2 linked regions of the Lonchura striata genome follow. The protein of the gene in region 1 purifies or fractionates together with the protein of each later gene. This does not show direct contact. Links are inferred from orthologs where the notes say so. Each region holds a gene or a part of one and is shown on either strand. Other genes may lie near its edges.

Evidence for each region. Proteins that work in one complex are often made in the same cells at the same time.
Region 2: the proteins of KIAA0232 (region 1) and DYRK1A purify together in Homo sapiens (affinity purification with mass spectrometry; 3 studies listed by BioGRID and IntAct, with this or other methods). This does not show direct contact. The link is inferred for Lonchura striata from reciprocal best matches to the Homo sapiens genes KIAA0232 and DYRK1A.

Annotation. Positions count from the first base shown.
Region 1 is NC_134606.1:11,910,122-11,920,453, reverse strand, and holds the start of KIAA0232 (uncharacterized protein KIAA0232 homolog), read left to right. Parts: upstream 1-5,846; 5' UTR 5,847-5,972; intron 5,973-10,332.
Region 2 is NC_134604.1:114,750,221-114,760,583, reverse strand, and holds the start of DYRK1A (dual specificity tyrosine-phosphorylation-regulated kinase 1A), read left to right. Parts: upstream 1-5,073; 5' UTR 5,074-5,190; intron 5,191-5,408; exon of another isoform or gene 5,409-5,702; intron 5,703-10,363. UniProt on the Homo sapiens protein: Dual-specificity kinase which possesses both serine/threonine and tyrosine kinase activities. Exhibits a substrate preference for proline at position P+1 and arginine at position P-3.

The sequences.
Region 1 (10,332 bases):
AAAAAATCCTAATGAAACCAAAAAACAAGCAGTTTTCATCTCAACAGCAATAACTCTATTGAGAGAAAACACCTTTTTAGCATAAACACATAACCCAGCGTTGGAAAGTGAAGTAGTTTTCTTCCCATTAACAGGTTCCAATGAGTAACTCTTCAAATGAGCATTTAATTTAATTCAGTTAGAATTACAAGCCAAAATATCATGAAATATACTTTTCAGAGCATATCAGTCTAGTTGGAAAATATTGAAATATTAGCTACTTCTTGACAGAAAAATACCCTCTCCTTCTCTCGTGCTGCTCAAATGGTTTCTATTTCAGGCTGACAGCCTTGTAGTCAATCACACCAGATAGAAATCTCTTCCTAGAGCAGCTTTGGAAATGCAGATACTAGAGCTCTGCATGTACTGCCAATTTTTTTTCCCCCCTTAATATCAAAATAGTAGTATATTTGTTTGGGATTCAATACCTGTTTTTAAATGCTGCTTTTTTCAAACTTTTACTTTTTCCCCTCATTGTAATGGCTGCTGGTATTAATCAGCCACTTTTAACAGTTCTTTGATATCTACAGAATGAGTTATTTCTAATGGCAGCACTTCCCAGCTTATCAGTTCTATCAGAAAGCAGCAATGGCCATTTTGCCTTTTGCTCCCACACAGATAAAAAAGTTCACACAAATAAAAATCTCAACATTTTATTATTAAGAACAACAACAATAATCTTCTTACAGTCTGCAAGTCATGTCTACAGATTCCTTCACTTTCAAGTCTCAACTTTCAAACCAAGTTTGAGGGTTTTTTTTGTTTGTTTTAAGCATTTGAAAACATGCAACCTTTTTGCTTTGCAGTTTTTCAGTTTTTTACTACGGGATCAGATAAGAAAATTTTTTGATCAGTCAAAACATAATGTCAAAGTGCCAGGACAACAAGCCATTAATACACAAAGGAATATTTTCTATTACCAGGGTCTTCAACAGTAGATCATCTTAAGAAAATGCTAAGGAAAAGATTAATTGCACCTTCAGTGCAATTGCTTTAATAACTCAATAAAATTTCAAGTGTTTCTTTCACCTGTCATTGTTTATAGATCATTAATAAAGATGGTAGTATATTCATTCCAAAATCTGTGGCCAGATTGCCAGCTATGAGAATGCATTCAACTCTTCAGCATTTTCACTGACTGAGAATATGGTCAATATCTAGGAAAAAAAACAGTGGAATTAATGCAAACAATACCATATCTCTGATGAGCAGGACAAGGATTGGATGCTGATGCTGCAGGCTACTCAAGGATGTTTAATTGTATTCATGAACTATTTGTAAGACAGTGAGCTGCCTAAACCTCACACATTTCCAACATGGTAATTCTAAAATGGCTGTAGTATATAGGAAAAAACAGATGTCATAATGTGTTTCATCTAGTTTAAAACTTAACATGTAATTAACTTAATAGCTTGACAATAGCTGATGTAGAAACAAATATAATGCAATTAAATTCATATCTTATTATGATATAAATTTCTTCTACATATGCATTACAAAAAAGATCAGAATTTGAGAGACTGGTATATTTAATGGTGACTAATGGTCCTTAAAATGCAATTGCATGTAATACTTGCTTTGTATTTCATCACTTGTGAAAATTATTTTATTTCTGTAACACTGTATTTCCTGTAGTCCTTTTAGTACACCACAAGTGAAAGCTATTCCTTGGTGTATGGTTTCAAATGCTGTATCCAGGTATTTGGACCTTAACATTCATTATGTAGTGTAACATTTTCATTTTTTAAATATTTTTAAACTGCTTGGCAGTTTGTCCAAATGGCTACAGACAATTATCATAGTTCTTTATAATTTTCTCTAAGTACTTTTTACTATAGACCTCAGGTAGTCTGTTTTAGGCACACAGCACCATGTTGAGACAGAGTCCTGTTCATGTATTCCTTTGGGCTGTCCAAGGGTTTCTCAAGGTATTATTAGGGTTTCTCAATTGTCAAAGTGCTGCAGGATGAAAAAGGGTAAGAGTAACAATGAAGCCAAATATTTTTTTAAAAAGTAGAGTCATAAAGACATACCAGCACTGAGCCCAGGTTATAGTGATCAAGTTGGATTGAATAGAAAATAAATTTACTTTGAATTATGTAATTGATTTTTCAAATGACTCAGATCTTCCAAGCTCACCACGCTAATGTGCTCCTATTAAAGATATTGAAACCTCTTTGAGAGGACTCTGAAAGGAAAAGAGTTGAACTGTGGCCCAATGAAAGCCCCACTAAAATTCAATGTCACATTCCATCCACTGCAGTAGATGAGGTCCTTGATGGCGACAACAGAGTGGTCCTCTGATTCTGTGGGTATGTAGAGCTTGGTTTTTCACTGCACAGGGATATTATTAGGAAATAGGGATCAGTAAAAAGGAATCTGAAACCTGATCTAGTGCTGAGGAATGCCTTTTGAATGTGTCATTTGAACCGAGTTATTACTTCTGGGAGGTGTGAATGTCTTTGCTTAAAACCTGAAATGGATCCTGAAAAGAAGTAAAAAAGTTAGGCAAGTCTTCACAGAATTAAGAATAGTTTCAAAGAGATAAATATAAGTTTGAATCTGTGCATCAAGATTTCAAGTAAAACTCATCATGAGTCTGTTGGATATTCCCTGTTTCAGCTTACATTAAGGTCCATTTTCTAGATTTTAAAAACACATAACTTTATGTATATATTTAGATCCTGCACATTTAAATGATCTTTTAAGTTCTTGGACTATGTATATTCCCCCACAAATGGTACTGTAGCTGTTTCTAAAATGTTGAATTGGCAGATTTGGCAGATTGCTTTTATCAAGCATTTCATATGAACTGTGAACAAGAGGATTGTCTACTGATTGGTTATCATGACTTTCAAAGCTAACTGATACATAATCCCTGCTCAGGGAAAATCAGGGGATTTTTATTGCATCTACAAGGAAATTTTAGGGAATATTATAAACTGATTTTAAGGAAGAAAGAGAAGGCTGACAATAAAATGCTTACAAGCTGTGGCTATCTAATATGGAACTGCTGTGAAATTTCTCCTTCAGTAGGTTACTTAAGGGAAAAAAATTATATATTATGAAATGGATACATTTTTAAACATTTATTGGAGACCCTCTCAGCAGGGATCACAATGAAAAAGGGAAACAGTGCTACTTGCTGAGGCTGACAGCTAAGGCACAAGTCCATCAGTCACTCAGTTCCGGTTTAGCATTCTTTTCAACACACATCATTTAGCCTTCATTTTCCAAACAAGCGCTGTCACCTACAATGCACACCCACATAGTTGTTCTCAGGGTGAAGGCTGTCACACAGAGGCAAACAGGGTTCCCATAGAAAACTTCCATCTTTGATAGCAACTCAGAAAGCAAAACCCACTGATTGCAGCTCACATGCTCTATCCCCACAGCTTTTTGGAGGAAAAGTTCATTAGCTGCTTTGCATGCCAAGGGACCAGCTGTCCTTCAGCACATGGAGCTACTCTGATTGACCAGGAGGACAAGTGGGAAATAAGCTCACAGCAGTGCCAGCACGGCATATGGTCATGTACCAGCTGTTTCTGAAATGCTTGCCAAATGGAAATAAGAATGGGGTTGGTTGTTAGGAAAATACAAACCCAACAAAACCCAACAAACAAACAAAAAAGTTCTACTGTTGGGATTCCTGTGATCTGACCACAAAACTAGAACTGTCAATTTGACAGTAACTATGTGAATATTCAGAATAATCTGTCATTGGCCTCCATGCTCTGACTTGCTCCATTAGAACACCAACGTTCTGAGCATCTCTTCCTTCTACAAATCTTCAGAGAAAAAATCTTTAGAAAGGGTGAAATACAGTAAGTGGATTTGTATTGATGATATACATTACTAATCCATCAAGGATATGTGTAGAGGACTGTATAGAGATTGATTTAAATTGGTGCCAATTGTTACTACAGACAGATCCCAGGTGCCTCATTTTTAGTGTATCTTATTCTACCTTGAAAAGGGGAATTCAAACACCGAGCTCCTGAACAACAGCAGATTTGATTGTGATTGGCACGAGTTGTGTTACAGCGGTGGTGAAATGCTTCTGATAAACCCGGGGAATGACTCAGCAGAAAACAGTCAGCAGGATTTTTTCCCAAAGCTTTTCAGTTTCAGCTTTTCATAACAAGAAAATAACTTGAACAGTAATTAAACAGTTCAGAGAACAATTCTGTCCTTTTATATCACAGTTTAAAGCACTACTTTCTCTTTAGATTTCTCCAAAAATGCTCCTGCAAGGTTTCGAGAAAGTAACAGATTAACTGCACGTTCATATGACATCAATTATTGCCTCAACGACATTTAAGAGAATGCTGGTAGTTAATGTAGCTACACAATCTTGCATACTTAACTTTTGGCTAGCCTAAGTCAGATTTATGACTAAATTAGGCGCTAAGGATGTTCAAAATTGGCAAACCCTAGCTAAAACAAAAATAAGAATAATGTTGCTCTGTATCAGGAAATGAGTATACAGGCTGGGAGGCAGTGTTTGCATTCATGCTTGTTATGAGATGTATTTTTTATATACAGACTTAACTTGTTGAAAGGCCTAAATGTGGGACCACATCCGGTACTGTGGGATCATGTTTTCAAAGGTAATCTTGGTTCCAGTGACTGAAGATGTGCACAAAAGAAACTGTGTGAGCCAACATGGATGACATACTGCATTTTGGAACTCTAGGAGCCACAGGTTGAGCAGTGAACAAAAGGAAGAAAACCTTATGATTACACAGAGAGAAGACTTACTTTGACATCTTACATAATATTGACTTTCCTCAGGCCCGTATGTGTTCATGCATTTGAGAAATGTGGGGTGGTAGTGTACACCTGAGAAGAGCGTCATTATTTTCCCAATTAAGAAGCTTAATGAGTACTTTGGTGTGTCTTGCCATATTTTCAGCCTTACAGTCGCCCATTTTCACCCATTTACTATGCTAAAAATGTTGCCCTTTCATTACTCCACGGTTGTGTAAACAGTCGTGATTAAACTGGCATTTAATCAATTGGAACAAAATCCCCGTGGCTCCCGAGGAGCTCACCTACTAAACCCGACTTTCAATGGCAACAATCTTCCAACAGACGACTTCCCTTCCAGACGGGCTTTCATTGCGCAGTAAAATAAACTTTTATTTGCTAACCTTGCTCTCGGAGTCGGTCAGGATTTCAAAAGGACCTCACATGACAAACACCGCTACGCTCCATCATTATCCCCCGCTCCCTCCCTCGCGTTCCTGCGCCGGCGCTGCCGGGGTGTTCCCCGCCGGCGGCACAGCGCTCCGAGGGGCGCGGGTGCTCCGGCCGCGGCTCCCCGCCGCCCGCCCGGTGCCGTCCCAGCGCCTCGCCCGCCGCCTCCCTCCTCCGGCGGCCGGCACGGCGCTGCGCCGGCGGGCGGGAGGCTGTACAACCAGGGCAAAGGACGCTTCCCCTCCTCCCCCCGCCCTTCCTGCGCCGCGGCCCCGACATGAAGGCGGCTGGCCGGCGCCCGGGCGCTAAGGCCGACGGCAGAGATAGGGACAGGGATGGGGAGCCGGGACGAACAGACCGCCCCGGTTCTCCCCGCCTCCCGCCCACCGGTGCGGTGGTCGCCAGCCCTCCGCACCCTCCCGGCGCAGCCCCGCGGCTCTGGGATCAGGGCCGCCCTCTGGGCGGAGGGATACGGGGCGGAGCTGGCGGCACGGTCCGCCGGGGCGCTGAGTCCCGTTGCCGGGTGACGGAGCGGCCGGCCCGGCCCCCTCCCTCCCTCCTTCCCTCCCCGTGGCGCTGGAACCGCCGCCGCCGCCGGTTTACGTAACGCCTCCCGGGGCAGGTCCCGGCTCCGTCCCGCCCGCCTCACTCGGGGACGGCAGCAGCGGGACGGAGTCCGCTGCCTCCTCCGGCTGCCAGAGGCCCCAGGGCCCCGCTCTGCGCCACCACGGCAGGTAAATGCCCGCCGCGGGCCCGGGGAGCAGAGGGAGGGGCAGGGCTGAAGGGAGGGAGGGAGAGCGGCAGCCGCCCTGCCCGTGGAACGGGAGGACGGAGCCGGGAGGCGGCGGCGGGCGCCCTTCCCCTCCCCCGCTTCCTCCCCACCGCTGCGTTGGGACAGGCGGGCTGGAGCCCCGGGAGCGCCGGGCCGGCGGCGCGGGGCCCGGCCGGGAAGGCCCGCGCATCCCTGCCCGCTCCGCTAACAGCCCGGCGAGAGGAGGAGTGGCGGGGCCGGGCCTGGTCCCGCCGGGAGGACGGTTTCCCGGGACGGCGCGTCCCGCTCCTGGGCTGCGCAGGACGGCGGGAGCGAGCCGGGGGGCGCGGGAGGAAGGGGCCGGGGAGGGGGTGACAGGAGCGCCGGGGGCCGGGCGGGGGGCGGCTGCCGGCCGGCGGCGGGCAGGGCTCGGGGGCGGGGCCGGGGGCCCGGCCGGGGTGCCCCGGTCAGAGCGCTGCCCGGGAGGGGCGCCGAGCCCTCCGCGGCTGCCGCCGACTCCCCCTCTTCCATCCCGGCGGGACCTGGCGCCAGGTGAGCGGCTTGTGCCGCGGCCGGGAGGGAGGCGCCAGCCTGCAGCGGGAGCAGCGGCTCGGTGCCCTCGGGCTGGGTCACGCCCGGGAGCAGAGGAGGAGAAGGAGGGAGGGAAAGGCGGCACCCAGCACCCACCCGCCGCGGGTGCCGGCCCCCGCCGGTGTCATCCGGCGCCAGCAGACGGCAAAGCGGAGGATGCGGCGGTTCGGGTCGGGGTAGGGAGATCCTGAGCCGGGCAGCGCCTCGCCTGCCCCGCCTGCCCCCGAGGTTGAGGTGACGGGGTTGCGCCGCTGCCGGGCCCGGCTGGTGCTCATGCCGTGACCTTTCATCCTGCGCGGGCGTTCAGCGCACCGGGGAGGGGGAGCTGGGGACGGGCTGGGGCCGATGGAAACCGCCCCGGCTGAGCCGCGGCGTTACAGCGCTGCCTCGGGGGCCGATCTGGCGGGGCTCGCTCCCCTCTTCTTTTTTTTTTTTTTAATTTTTAAAATTTTTAACAAATATTTTTTCCCCTTGAAGCAGCATTGTCCTTTAGGGCCTATTGAAGGCAAAAGGCGGATAGGAAGGCTAGGGCTGCTGCTGTTTGAGGAGGCGGAGCTGGGCTGATGGGAGACTGACGGGAGCCGCATCCTATGGGCGCTGCGAGCCGGGCGCCGCTGGGGCGGGACCGCCGGCCGCGGCCTCTCGCGGGCGATGGGCGGGGTGGGGGACAAGGTTTGGCGAAGGTTACAGCTGAATGCAGAAGTGACACAAACTGACACTTCGCTCCAGCAAACTCCTTTCCCTCTTCTCTTCGTGTCGTCTCGACTAAAAGTATACACGTATTGAGTCGTGTTATGAAACTTTGAGAAAAACGAAAGTGCGGTGCTTTTTTTCCTGTCTCGTCTTTGTTTTAATTACTCGTTGCAGTACCTGATACTGATCTGAAGGGTAAAAATGTTTGTCCTTCGTTTCAAATAAAACACGTTCCTGTATTCTGTTTTTTTTCTGTGTATAAGTGATTTGGGCAGTAATTTATAAGCTTGAGATCGGAGGCCTCTGTGGTATGTGTAGTTGCTTTTCTTCATTCAAACCCTTTAAAATGTTTATGGTTTCTCTTGTACACCATATATTCCTGGAATGAAGTGGGAATTGCCGATTGACTTTGGTTTCTTAGCTGTCAAAAGTGAACTCATCATGATTCAGTAGATAATTGTGTAAAACAAAGTACTTCACCGCAGTGCTTAAACCCTAGGTATTGCAAACTCCTCACAATCCATGGAAGTCTGTAATTGACATTTTTCTTTATTATTTAAGACAAAAATATGCCTTACAAAAGTAAATGACATGGAACTTGATTGTTACTTGACATGTAACTGTACAGATTTTATTTTGTACTAATCCTCCATCTGCTGTGTCTTGTTAGTATGGATATGCTAAAATGGTAGTGTACAATCATTCTAGTCAGTAAAGCATACCATATAGGTATCAAAATCTTCTCTTTTCATCATTGAGATATAAAAGGGGATGTGACTTGAATAAAATTAGTAGTATGTTATATATTCATGATGTTATTTATTTTCAAATACTTGACAATTATGGGGGAAATCCAGAGACAGGCCATTAAATGCCTCAGCAGCGTATATCCCCACCATGTTCTGCTTGACAGATATTAACACGTGTACAGTGACAGAACTTTATCCATCTGTTTGGAGCACCACTGGGATTAAGACCCTTTGAGGCCACACTTTCTGCAAATTTGGATTAAGTATATGACCCTCCAGCTTTAGTGCTCATGAGCAGTGGAATTGGAAGGAAAATAAAGGTCAGAGAGATCCATATGACCCAAGAAGAAAAAATGGAGGCCCTGAACTTACCTTATTATGCCTGTTTCATGGGCATATTTCAGCTTTCCCCTCTGCTTTTTTTGTTGCTATTTGTGATTCTTCCAAGTAAGAGAAATTCCAGAGGGGTAAAATGATGTCACCAATTTCCTTTGCTCATTTGCTGTGCATTCTAGCAGGAATAGGGTCAGAAGAACTAGATACTGTTCAAAACTTCATTATTTGTTCTTCTTGAGCATCTTGTTTCTAGGCAGATAGGGGGAATGAAGCAGCCAAGAGGTTGCACAGGTGAATTTTCTTGAAGGATTTTACTGGGTTTTAGGCATAGTGTTGTACAGTCAGAATGGACGCTTTATATACTTAGCTGGAGTCCTAGCACAATCATGTCTCAGTTTGCTGCTTCTTTAAGCAATAGCTAATAACTAAAAGTGACAACTTAGTACTATAATAGGATAGGCAACAATGTCTGGTAAAGCAGAATGTGGTGAAGGCAGTAAGACTTAAATTCCTGTAGAGTTAGCAGGAAATATTCCCATTATCTGCATTGCTAGTGGAGCTTGGAATACAAATGATCTTGTAGAAGGTATTTAATATGTTCTGTTTATTGGGATAGTCTGTTTTTAGGATATTCTTCTGTCTCATGGAACAGAGATTGGTATCCTTCATTTTTGCCCAAGAAAAGTGACAGGCTGGTTGGATAATTTGTAAATGGAATTGCAGAAATAAGTTGTGTTGTCCATCCCCATAGTCCTGCCCCAGGAATTTTTTTTCAACTAATGTCAATCACATATTACAAAAGAAAAATGTTCAAATGAGTACTGATGTGCTCAGTGATGTTTCGATACACAGACAAAAGGAAAATTGTCTGATTGGAAGGAAAATTATGTTTTTTTGTTAATTTGGAAATAGTTTATTAGATTTTTCTAATCAGAAGTACTACATAACTGTGGGAATGTCAGAATGTTTTAGTCGAAAAATATCTATATGGGCTAGTTACAATATTTTTACTAAAAAGCATCTTGCTCTACTTTCTTAAAGTTGTTTGGGTACATTTTTAATGGATATTAAGAGATTGAATGAGTATTTTATTGGCCCATAGAGGTGGTTGGGGATGAGGGGAAGGGTTCAGTCTCTTAAACATTCAGTACAAAGATTATTCTTTCACAGACATCTTACTAGCAGCTATTTCTGTAGCTTTATTGGAAGCTACTGAGTATTTAAATTTTTTAATTATCTACTTCCTTTATCATTTCATATGCAGGATGTTTGGATCTACCTGCATAATACTGTACATTGTTTGTTTTGTTTCTGCATCTAAATTCTGTTCATAACTTTGATACCAAAGAGGACATATGGAACCTGTCTTTCCAAGAGACTAATTTCTGAGACAGTAGTGTGGAAATTTAAATAATGAAGTATTTAAATTAATTTTTCACTCTTGTGATATTATATGTAATATTTTAATTCTTTTAGTGTGGAAATATAAATTATGATGTATTTAAATTCATTTTTTTAGTTCTGATATTACATGTAATTTTAGTTATATCCTGTTAAGTCTGTGCTCAGGCTTGCTGTAGTGATTTTAATTTTTAATACAATTTGGGGAATGTTTAAATTTCTGGGTTATGCTGTATCGTGAGGAAGAAATTTCAAATATGCAGTCCATGCTAATGTTACTTGTGGCTGTAACTTTCTAGGCCTTATTCTAGAAAGGATTGCATGTGAAAATTTATACTCTGTGCAAAAAGGTCTGTTAATAAATAAAAATAAGTTGTAACAGGGATGAAATATGAATAATTCTGTGGAGTTTTTACAGCTTTAAAAAATCTTCCTCTAGTTACTATTTGATTTACCAGAAGAATAAGGTCTGCTGGATAGAGTGTTGGGCTAGGATTGAAAAAAGAGACCTACATGAAGTTTTCTATCAGCTGTACCACTGAGTGCTTTCAAGTGAAATTTCATTTTCATGTG
Region 2 (10,363 bases), on another chromosome or scaffold:
GGGAGATGCACTTTTTTTTTTTGGGAATAAGCCTTATCCAGCAGCAATTCCAGGACCTTCTGGTCCAGAGGCGTGCCATCCTACACGATGTGCAGCTCTGGCTGTCAATCCAAAGCCGGTACTATCGAAGCCGGCTCTGATGATGACTCAAAAGCTGATCTATCTCCATCCGAATGGGTTACCATGGCAACCCCTCTGGCCTAAAAAGAGCTGGACCACATTAGTTACTTAGCAGCACCTTTTTGACAGGCGAAACACAAGCTGCTCCCTCCAGATGATGGTTTCGTGTGGGACTGAGGCTGTCTGGGAGCTGCCACAGTGCTCTGGGAAGTGTTGATGATGTAACCCATGCAGGAGAACTTCTGCTGGGACTTCACTTGGAGTTGAGGCTCAGCACCAAAGGAATTGAGCTGTGTGGTGGCTTTGGTGGAGAAACACAACAGCAGAATCTATTGTGATGGAATTCTTCCTGAAGATCTTCCAGCTTGGGTCTGGTGACATAAGAAGGCCCCTCTTGCAGTGGGGTACAGAGGATTATTGGAATTGCTGCTGGTCCAACACAGCATCTACATCAAAACTTGAACTCAAAACACAAATGTTGAATCCTGGAAAAGTCAGGCTGCCCATAGTTGCTGAGAAGGAAGTCTGGAGTTCAGGCAGAACTGGAAATGCTCCAGGAGGAAAACTGCAGGGCTACAAGGGCGGGTTGGATCAGGGAATGAAGCCTTCCAGAGCACACAATGATGAGGAAAATGGGCCCCTCTTCTCCATGAAGGAAGGCTGGAAAGGGAAAAAATGGGACATATTACCCATAATCACACTCCACTGCCATAGAATCATAGTTTGGATCAGAAGGGACATTAAAAACCATCCAGTGCCATCCCTGCCATGGCAGGGACACCTCCCACTGTGCCAGGATGCTCCAATCTCCAGTGTCCAACCTGGCCTTGGGCACTGCCAGGGATCCAGGGGCAGCCCAGGGCTTGCCCACCCTCCCAGGGAACAACTTCTTCATATACCTAACCTGCAATTCCCCTCTTTCAGTCTGAAGTCACTCCAGTTCCTGATGAATTGTCCCTCTACAACTTCTCTGTAGCCCCTCAGACACTGGAAGGTGCTGTGAGGTCTCCACACAACCCTCTTCTCCAGGCTGAACAATCCCAACTCTTCAGCTGTTTTGTTGTTTCTTTTACATCTATTCCATTTCTCTAGACTGCTGTATGTTATTTTCTCACTTAGAGCTAATTTCTCCACTCTTTCCTCCTCATTTTCAATGTGCTTTTATCTTATTTTTTCTCAATTTTTCTGCTTATTATTGGGTTTTTTGACCCCAGATATTCTGCTTTCTGAGGGGTGGTCTCTTAGGAAAAGACATCCAAGTATTTCTTACAAGCCTGTCCACTAATTCATATACACAATGTTCACAAACTCCTGTTTTCAAGTACTGCAAACCTACTCCAGGTGGATTGTGATGGAGAGTTTAAAAAAAAAAAAAAAAAAAAAAAAAGGACTCTCAAGTCTTTCCTGTCTTGGCAGTCCCTCCCTTCCTAAACAAAATAAAAAGGAGTAAGTTTTGATAATTTTTGATAAGCAAGAACTTGGATTCCCTTCATCCAGGCCCCAACTCGTGTGCAAAGTTTCCAGGTGAGGCAGGATGCTGGTGGAATCCCAGCCTGGAGGATCCCTAACCCGAGCCCCAAACCTCCAGCAGAGAACACAAGTTCAGTTCCTGACAACCCTTTCCAGGAAGAAATTCCTCCTGATGTCCAACCTGAACCTCCCCTTGCCTTTTAATGAAATGGATATTGAAGAGAACACTTTTGTACAAGGGAAGAACCATGCAGGTTATTCATTATCCAGATAAAATTAACAAGCCAAAAATATCTAGATGTTTGTGCTGAAAAATAACATTTTAAAAAGATGCCATCAACTTTTAAAGGACATTTTTTTCTCTGCCCAAGGTGCCAGAGCCAGCAAAATAAAAGTAGAGGATGACTGAGCAAATGCAAAACCTATTGAAAACTCTGTAATATTTTTAAGTGTTAGCAAAAAAACTCCTCAAAACCTGACAAAAACCCCAAACCCCAGGAAGTTACAGTAATGCAGTGAACAGTGTAACAAATTTCTGTGAGTTTTGAAGTTACCTACATTGAGAAACAGAGAAACTCTTCTGTCACTGCACTCACACAGACCAGAAAGAGATTTTAGAGGGAAAAAATCCTCAGGGAATGCCCCCTTGCTCCTCTTTGGGAGCGAAGCTGTCCTTCCTGACTGAGGGACTGGGCAGAGGTTGGCCTTTGAGATCTTGGAATTGTCCACCTTGGAAGAGCCCTCCAGGATCATCCAGTGCCACCAGCATCACCCAAACCCTGTCCCCAAGGCCACATCCAGACTCCTCTGGGACAATTCCAGTGACTCCAAACCTCCCTGGGCAGCTCATCCCAAGGCTTGACCACTCTGCCAGGAAGAATTGGGGGAAAATTTGTTTTCAGTCTCCAACCTGAGCCTCCCCTGGTGCCATTTGAGGCCGTTCCCTCTCCTCCTGTCCCTGTTCCTGGAGCAGAGCCCGACCCCCCGGCTGTCCCTTCCTGGCAGGAGCTGTGCAGAGCCACAAGGTCCCCTTGAGCCTCCTTTGCTCCAGGCTCAGCTCCTTCCCAGCTCCCTCAGGAACTCTCCAGCCCCTTCCCAGCTCCCTCAGGAACTCTCCATTCCCTTCCCAGCTCCCTCAGGAACTCTCCAGCCCCTTCCCAGCTCCCTCAGGAACTCTCCATTCCCTTCCCAGCTCCCTCAGGAACTCTCCAGCCCTTTCCCAGCTCCCTCAGGTGTTGCTTTCCACATCCCAGGACAAGAGCCACATTCTGGCCATGCTCAGAGTCGACGAGAGAAGTGTCAAAAGCAGCTCCAAGTGACCACAAATCCTTCTGGGGCTGAGGGGAATGAGAAAGGATCACTGAAATCACGGTGCCCCCAAGTACCTCCCAGGGCTGGAAGGTGCAGTTCCATAGATAATTTCAACTCACCTAACACCTCTCTGTCACTCCTGGGGTGGCCCCGCGATTTCCCTCCTCTGCCCTGTGCACCCCTGTCCCTGGAGAGGGACTTTTCACAAGGGGTGAGAAGATAAACAGGGATGGATTTAAGCTGAGAAAGAGAGGTTTAGATGGGATATCAGGGAGAAATCCTTCCCTGGGATGGAATTCCCAGAGCAGCTGGGGCTGCCCCTGGATCCCTGGCAGTGCCCAAGGCCAGGTTGGATTTGGGGCTTGGAGCAGCCTGGGAAAATGGGAGGTGTCCCCATGGCAGGGGTGGGATGAGATGATCTTTACAGTCCTTTCCACCCCAACCCAGTCTGGGATTGTGTGATCACACAATGTAAGTAAAATTCTCAACACTTCAATTATTTGGGGGGCTTTGGCTTTGGCTGCATCCGTTCTGCCAATCCTTGGCTGCTTATTTCAACCTTTTAAGCCAAGATAAAAAAATAAAAAAAAATTAAAACAGGAAGAAAAAGCAAATGGAACATGTAACATGTCCTAATTTCTCCAAGGAGGCTGGCTAGGAAATGAAATTACTAGATTAAAGTATCACACGTCAGAATTAAAGTATTAGATAAAGGCCAGACTCTACTTTTTGATCCTTGTGGGCATTCCAGAAACTAAAAAAAAAAAAAAAAAAAAAAAGAGAAAAAAAAAAAGAAAAAACCCAAACCAAACCAAAAAAACCCCCTTAAAAACCTCGTCACAGATTTAGGCTGGAAACACCAATCCAGCAGTTCCGAGGGGAAAGGAGCATTCTGTCAGCAGCTCGAGGCTCCCACACTGGGCTACTTATAGTGCATATTTTAACTCATTTTTTGAGAAATATATTGATTTTTTGAGGGGGGATGTGGAAGACCCCATGATGCAATTCCAAGGGGAAAAGAGCCTTTTATTCTGTGATTCCCTCAGCACCTTAAGGCTCCCACACCAAGCTACTTTTAGTGCATTTTAAAACTCATTTTGGGGGAATATATTGATTTTCAGAGGGGGGTGAGAAAGACCCCTGGATGCAATTCTGAGGGGAAAGGAGCTTTGCCTCAGCAGCTTGAGGCTCCCACATCTAACTCACTTCTGGGGGAATATACATATATATATTTTTTTTTTTTCTGATGAGAATTAGAAAAACCCTGGACAGAATTTCAAGGGGAAAGGAGCCTTCTTCCCTCAGCAGCTCAAGCCTCCCACACCGGGTGACTTTTAGTGCGTTTTAAAACTTGTCTTGGGGAAATACAGATTTTTTCCAGGGGACAAGGAAGACCCCCGGATGCAATTCTGAGGGGCAAGAAACCTTCCAGAACCCTGTGACTCCCCAGCAACGCCGGGTCTCCCACAGGGACGACTTTTAGCGCATTTCCCAACTCGTATTTTTTTTTTTTGGGGGGGGTGATATTTTTAAGCGTGTCGAGAAAAACGCGCGGACGCAATGCCGAGGGGAGCCTTCCCTCAGCGGGTTCAGGCACTTTAAGCTCCTTCCAGAGCGTTTTTTGGACGGTTTTTTGGGAACGCCTGGCGTCCCGCGCCCGGCCCCGCCGCTCCCCACAGGCGGCGGGCGGGAAGCCCCGGCGGGCTCGGCCTCGCGCTCCCGGCGCCCCCTGCGGGCCGGGGCCGGCGCCGCCTCAACCGCCGGCTCCCCCTTCACCGGCAATGGCGGCCGCTCTCCTTCCCCGCCCCGCCGGGGCCATCCCGGCCCGCAGCGCCGCCGACACCGTCACACGCCGGAGGGCGGGCGGGCATGGATCAGGAAAGAGGGGGGGAAGGAGCCGTTGCCATGGCGAGAGCGGCCCGCCCTTGCTTCCCCACGTCAGCGCCGTCTCCCGCCCGGCCGCGGGTGATTGACAGTTGCCACGGCAACAGGCTCGCCCCCGCCGCCATTTTGTCAGTTGGGTTTTTTTTTTTTAAATTTAAAATTATTTTAAAAAATTAAAATAAAATAATAATTTAAAAACCCCAAGAGCAAATAGCTCCATTTCCGCCAGAATCTCGGGGGGGTTATTATTTTTTTTTAAAGTTTATTTTTTTCTTCTCCTTCCTCCGACCTCCACCGCGAAAGGAAAAGGAAAAGAAGGGACGCAAAAAAAGTGCGCTCCGAGGGTCCCGCCGGGGATGCGCGGCCGGGCTTGAGGCGGCGGCGGCGGTGCGGGAAGCGAAGCCGGTTCGTGAGGAAGAAGGGAGGGAGGGAAGGAGGAGCGGGCGGGGAGGGAGGGAGGGGGAGGAGGTAGCGGCTGGCAGGCGGGGGAGGGAGGGAGGGAGCGAGGAGTTCCCGGGGGCTCGGTACGGCGCTGCGCTTCCCCCCATCCCCTCCTCCTCCTCCTTCTCCTCCTCCTCCTCCTCCCGCTCCTCCCGCTCCCCCCGCCGCTGTCCCCGCGCTCCCGGCCGGGGCTCAGGCCGCCGATCGCAGCCGAGCCGAGGCGAGGCCGAGCCGCCGCCGGGCGCTGCGCAGGTTTGGACCGCGCGCCATTTTGTGAGGGCAGCGAACAGCCAGAGCCCGGCCGGGGACCCGCCGGGCCGCCCGGGCTCCCCTTCCCCACCGCGGGCAGAGCCGCGGCCCGAGGGAGGAGGAGGCGCCGCCGCCGCCGCCGAGGCCCCCGGGGAAGAGCGGGAGGACGAGCCCGGCACTCGCCCCGCGGAGGGAGAGGCCTCGCCCCGGGAGAAGCCGCCGCACGGGTGAGTGAGACGCCGCGCCGCGGGACGAGCCGGGGCCGCCTCGCCCGGGCCCGCGGCGGAGGGGCCGCAGCGCTTCGCTGCCATCTTAGAGCGGGAGCGGCGGCAGGGCCGGGATCCATCCCCGCCCGCCCCGCCGCAGCCCGCGGCCTTTTTCCCCTTGGAGCGCGGCTGTGGCTTGCCGGGCCTTGGGAGCGGCGATGGAGGAAGGGAGCTCGCCCGGAGCCTCTCGGTGTTATGCGCAACGCCCTGCGGTGGGCGGGTGCGAGGGCTCGGGCCGGGCTGGCGGCGAGGAGGGCGGCAGGACTCGGAGCATCACCTGTTGTAGGGGAGGATTGGGATGCCCCCGGCACCTGTGAGGGGCCGGTGGGGCGGGTGGGGAAGGTGCAGGGAGATGGGGAAGGAGTTACCTGAGCGAGGTGCCTGTCATCCCTTCGGTGGGGGTGGGGAGGAGGAGGGAGCAGCGTTGGGAATAGACACAGGGACACGCAGGGACACACAGGCACAGGGACAGGCAGGGACACACGGGCGCTCCTCGGGGAGGTGGCGGAGGCACCGTCCCCGGAGGTCTTTAAGGAAAGGCTGGACGTGGCTCTCGGTGCCATGGGCTGCTTGACAAGGTGGCCGTAGGTTGGACTCGATGATCTCGGAGCTCTTTTCCATCATTAATGATTCCCTGAATCCGTCTTTTAGTAGCTGGCCGCGGCCTTTTAGGGATTCAGCTTTGTGTTGTGGGGAGGAATTGGGGCTCCTCTCGGATGCACTGGGTGCTCCTCTGGAGTGGCCAGAGTTCCCTCCCGCCGCCGTGGGATCACAAAACGCGTTTTAAAGTCCTGGAATTGGAAATTTAGAAATTGGTGTGGTTTTGGATCTCAGTCGGCTTTGAAGCTTGGGGTTTAGCCCCTCCAAAGACCAGGTAGGGCTTCTTTGATCATGTTTCTAGATTGCTGCTGTTACTTAGTTCTCCTATTACTCCACAGCCATCGAGGGAAATTAACATTTATTGTTATTTAGAATCAACAAAGGCAGAGTAACTCGCTACAAAATAAATCGACAAGCGTGTTTTTGACAGCCATCCTGGTTGAATCCGAATGAGTGTGTGGTGTTAATTTCTGCCAGGAGGTCCTTGAAGTCACACTGAGGTGGATGGAGTTTCATGGGGGCCCGGATTTGAACAAGTTAACAACTTTTTTTATTATCTTCTTGGTGTTTCCTTACCTTTTCTTCAAGAAAGGTGTGTGAAGTCAAAGAACACATAGATGATATCTGGTGATAAATCAGCAAACATTTAATTTCTGGTAGTACTCAATTCTTTGCTTGTAACCAAGCAGAATTTAACTTCCCTCCTTGGAATAGTCTGTAGCCCTAAAAAGTTTTGGTAAACTTGTTTCTCTCTTTCTCCACGCCGCCCTTCCCCCAACCTCTGTAGGTTGGATATTTTTGGAAAATTAATTATACTTTATAGAATTAGTATAATAACACTGAAAATAACTCTGAGCTAGTATTTGTTAACTATTATCTATATATATTTGGTGTGTGTATATATAGATACTTTTGTAGGCTATGCTTCTTGTTTTTGGCTTACATGAATTATTTAGAACTAGACTTTTTATTTGCAGTCTGAAGTAGAATATGTGTGTGAAGTGTTAAATTTACATTTTTTGCTGTGAATTAAAAATTCCATCCAAGTTCATGAAGCTTTTTGAGTTTAATTCATGGCTTTGGAATATTCCTTGGGTGAAGCAAGTATATCTTGTTCAAAACTGAAAGAGCCAGCAGGGTTTTCCTAAGCCAGGAGGGCAATAGGTCAAGAGTTTGATATTGTTTCCAAGCTTACAGGTAGGGTTGGTTACAGGAGCGAGCGTTACAGTTCCTGCATCAATACTTGGATGGATTTGGGACTTGTCATTGGCATCCCCTCCCCCAGCTGGACAGTGACAAGGATAATTTTACCTCATAGCAGCCAAGAGTTCTCCCTTTCAGTGCAGGATTCCCTTCCTGGTGTGAAACAAGCAGGGACTCACGGGGAATTTATCCAGTTTGGGAGTCTGGGGGGTTGTGCAGGGTGGGAATGAACACCTGAGGGCCGTAGGAGACTTTTGCAAAGTGGCTGATAGTTCAAACAAAGCTGCAGAGCACCTCTGGTGTCCGGGAAAAACTCTGCCTTGTCCGAGCTTTTCAAGTGACATTTAATTAGGACAGACTTGCTTACATGTGCCACATCTTAAAGTCACTGGACCACCTGCTCAGATGGTATGTGAAAAGAATAAACACACAAAACCGGAGCTTTTATTTGCCATGCAGGCATTTCACAGCTTCTTCTGAGCTCGAATGGGTGCTGCTCTGAAGACTAAAACCTACTGGTACCAAAAAAAGCACTTTTTGTTGCTATAATTAGATTATCTTTTGGGAATTCCTCTGAAAACCTGTTCATTTCAGGTGTTTTTAAGCCTGGCTGTGGGACTGCAGGTTGAAAGTTGTGTGGCTGTTTGTGGTTTTGGGTGAAAATTGCAGCCTGGTATCGGTTTAGCCTTTCCATGGTCATTTTGCATGCCATTTGGAGAACTGTTCTCCATATTAAAGTACAAAACTTTCTGATACCTTTATATTATGGGAGTTGTATAACTTCTGAAATCCTTTTGTAAATAGATCTGTTGTTGTAGGATAGGATTATTTACAGAGAACTGCTGCTTTTGTCTTTATAACTGAATACAATACATTATTTGTTGAGTTTACAGTTTCATCTCTGCAAAGAGGTTGATAAGAAATACATTTTTGCAAAAATTATGTAATAACTTTCTGGCTACACAGACTCTGATGTTTATGCAATGAGAGTTATTGTTTGTTCTAAGACTTTTTTTTGTTATTTGGTTTTTTTTTTTTTTTTATTATTTGAACGAATACCAAAAACCTCTCTGGGTGAACTGCTTTTCTTGTGAGCCTCTGAGGGGAGAAAGAAGTAATCAGGAGAAGGGGAATGCTCTTCCTTTCCATCCTCACCTCCATGGGTCCTTCAGGAAGAGGCTTATGGGAACTGTAGTCTTTGGATGCCTTAAAAATGCCAGAGAAACTTTGGAAAATCAGGAATGGTTACTTCCACAAAGGCATGTTCCATTTGTGGAGTTCTCCAGTGCTGGCTCTTCAAGGTGACACAATATACCAGTAGAATTGTAGTGATTATCTATTGTTTTATCCACCTTTTCCTCCTTTGGGGAAGGAAGGTAAAATTCTGCATTTAATTCTCATTTATCCCAGAATGACTGGAAAAATAACTGGACTGCTTTTTCTGGTACCAATGGATTTCATTCTGTCAGAGCAGGGTTCTGCTTTGTCCTAACCCTTGGTATGGACCACTTTGAAGAGTATTGGCTTTATCATCTCCTTATTTATTCCAAAGTGTCCTGTCCTTGTGATTTTTGGGGAGAATCCCCACTGAAGGGCCAGGGAAATGTGGGAGACAACTCCCAGTCAGCCCTGCCTGCATCCATACAGTGGGAAAACTCTGGTGCTGCTTCAAGCCCCTGTATGAAAACGGAATCAGTGAAATCCCAGCTCTGAATTTTGGAAAAGCAGGGAAATACTTCTGTAACTGAAACACCGCGAGCTGACATCTATTTGTAAACATTCTCCATGCAAAGCTTCCAGGTCTGGGTAGCACCAAGTACCTCAAAGTGAAACAGTAAATGAAAGGAAAATTAACTCTATTAAGTGTCAGTTACGATCCAGCTGTGAGAGACCAAGCTTTCAATTGCTGTTACATAAAGTTCCAAAGACTCCTGGTATTCCTTTCCCCCCACCCCCTTTTTCTTTTCCCCCGGAGGCAAATAAAAATAGACTGTGTTGTGAGTCAATTTAAGGAATAGTTAATAATACATTAATACTTCTTTGTGTTGAAAAGTTTCCTCTTTCTTTTTGGTAACTGTTTTGGATGGTGAAATAAGAGTGGGATGGAAATGTATAAATTGATTTCTGATGGAAGAGTCATTCCTTCAAAAAATAATGGGAAAAAAATGAGACTGAATTTTGTCGAGTTACTGGAAAAAATCAAATTAGTAGGATGACTAGTTCACAAAAGCATAAGTAAATAACTTTAATAATTAAATTGAACTTGTTAGTGAAACTTTTAAATCTTAGTGTTCCAAAAACCTGTTGTTCACTGGGTTTGTGGTTTCTTGAGTGCAAACACATTTCATTTCAAATCCCCTATCCCTGTGAGTGTTCAGCTCGTGATTTGTGCTTCTGTGAACATCATAAATTGCTAATAACTCATTTACTGTGGTCTTGTTGGAACATCCAGCATCTCCTTTACAGAGGGAGCAGTTTTGTGCCCCTGGTATCACTTTGAGTTAAAACTCGAGGAAGGGTTAAAAGAGGAGAGAAATCTTGTCAGGGAAGTGAATGTGTTGGTACTTCCTCAGTCCTGCATTTTCCTGGTCACTGAGAGTTCCCTCACACTGATCTCTGCCCTGTCAGGTTGTAACTACAGCTTTTCCCTACTTACAGCTGTAGAACCACATGTATTCCTCTTTTAAACTGCAGTTTGAACAGGACTTACACATTAAATACACAGAGGGGGTGTGTGTGGTCACAGACAAATCAGTTTCCATACACTCTTTCAAACTCTGATTGATACTGGAAGCTCAGTAACTTTCCAGGATCATGTC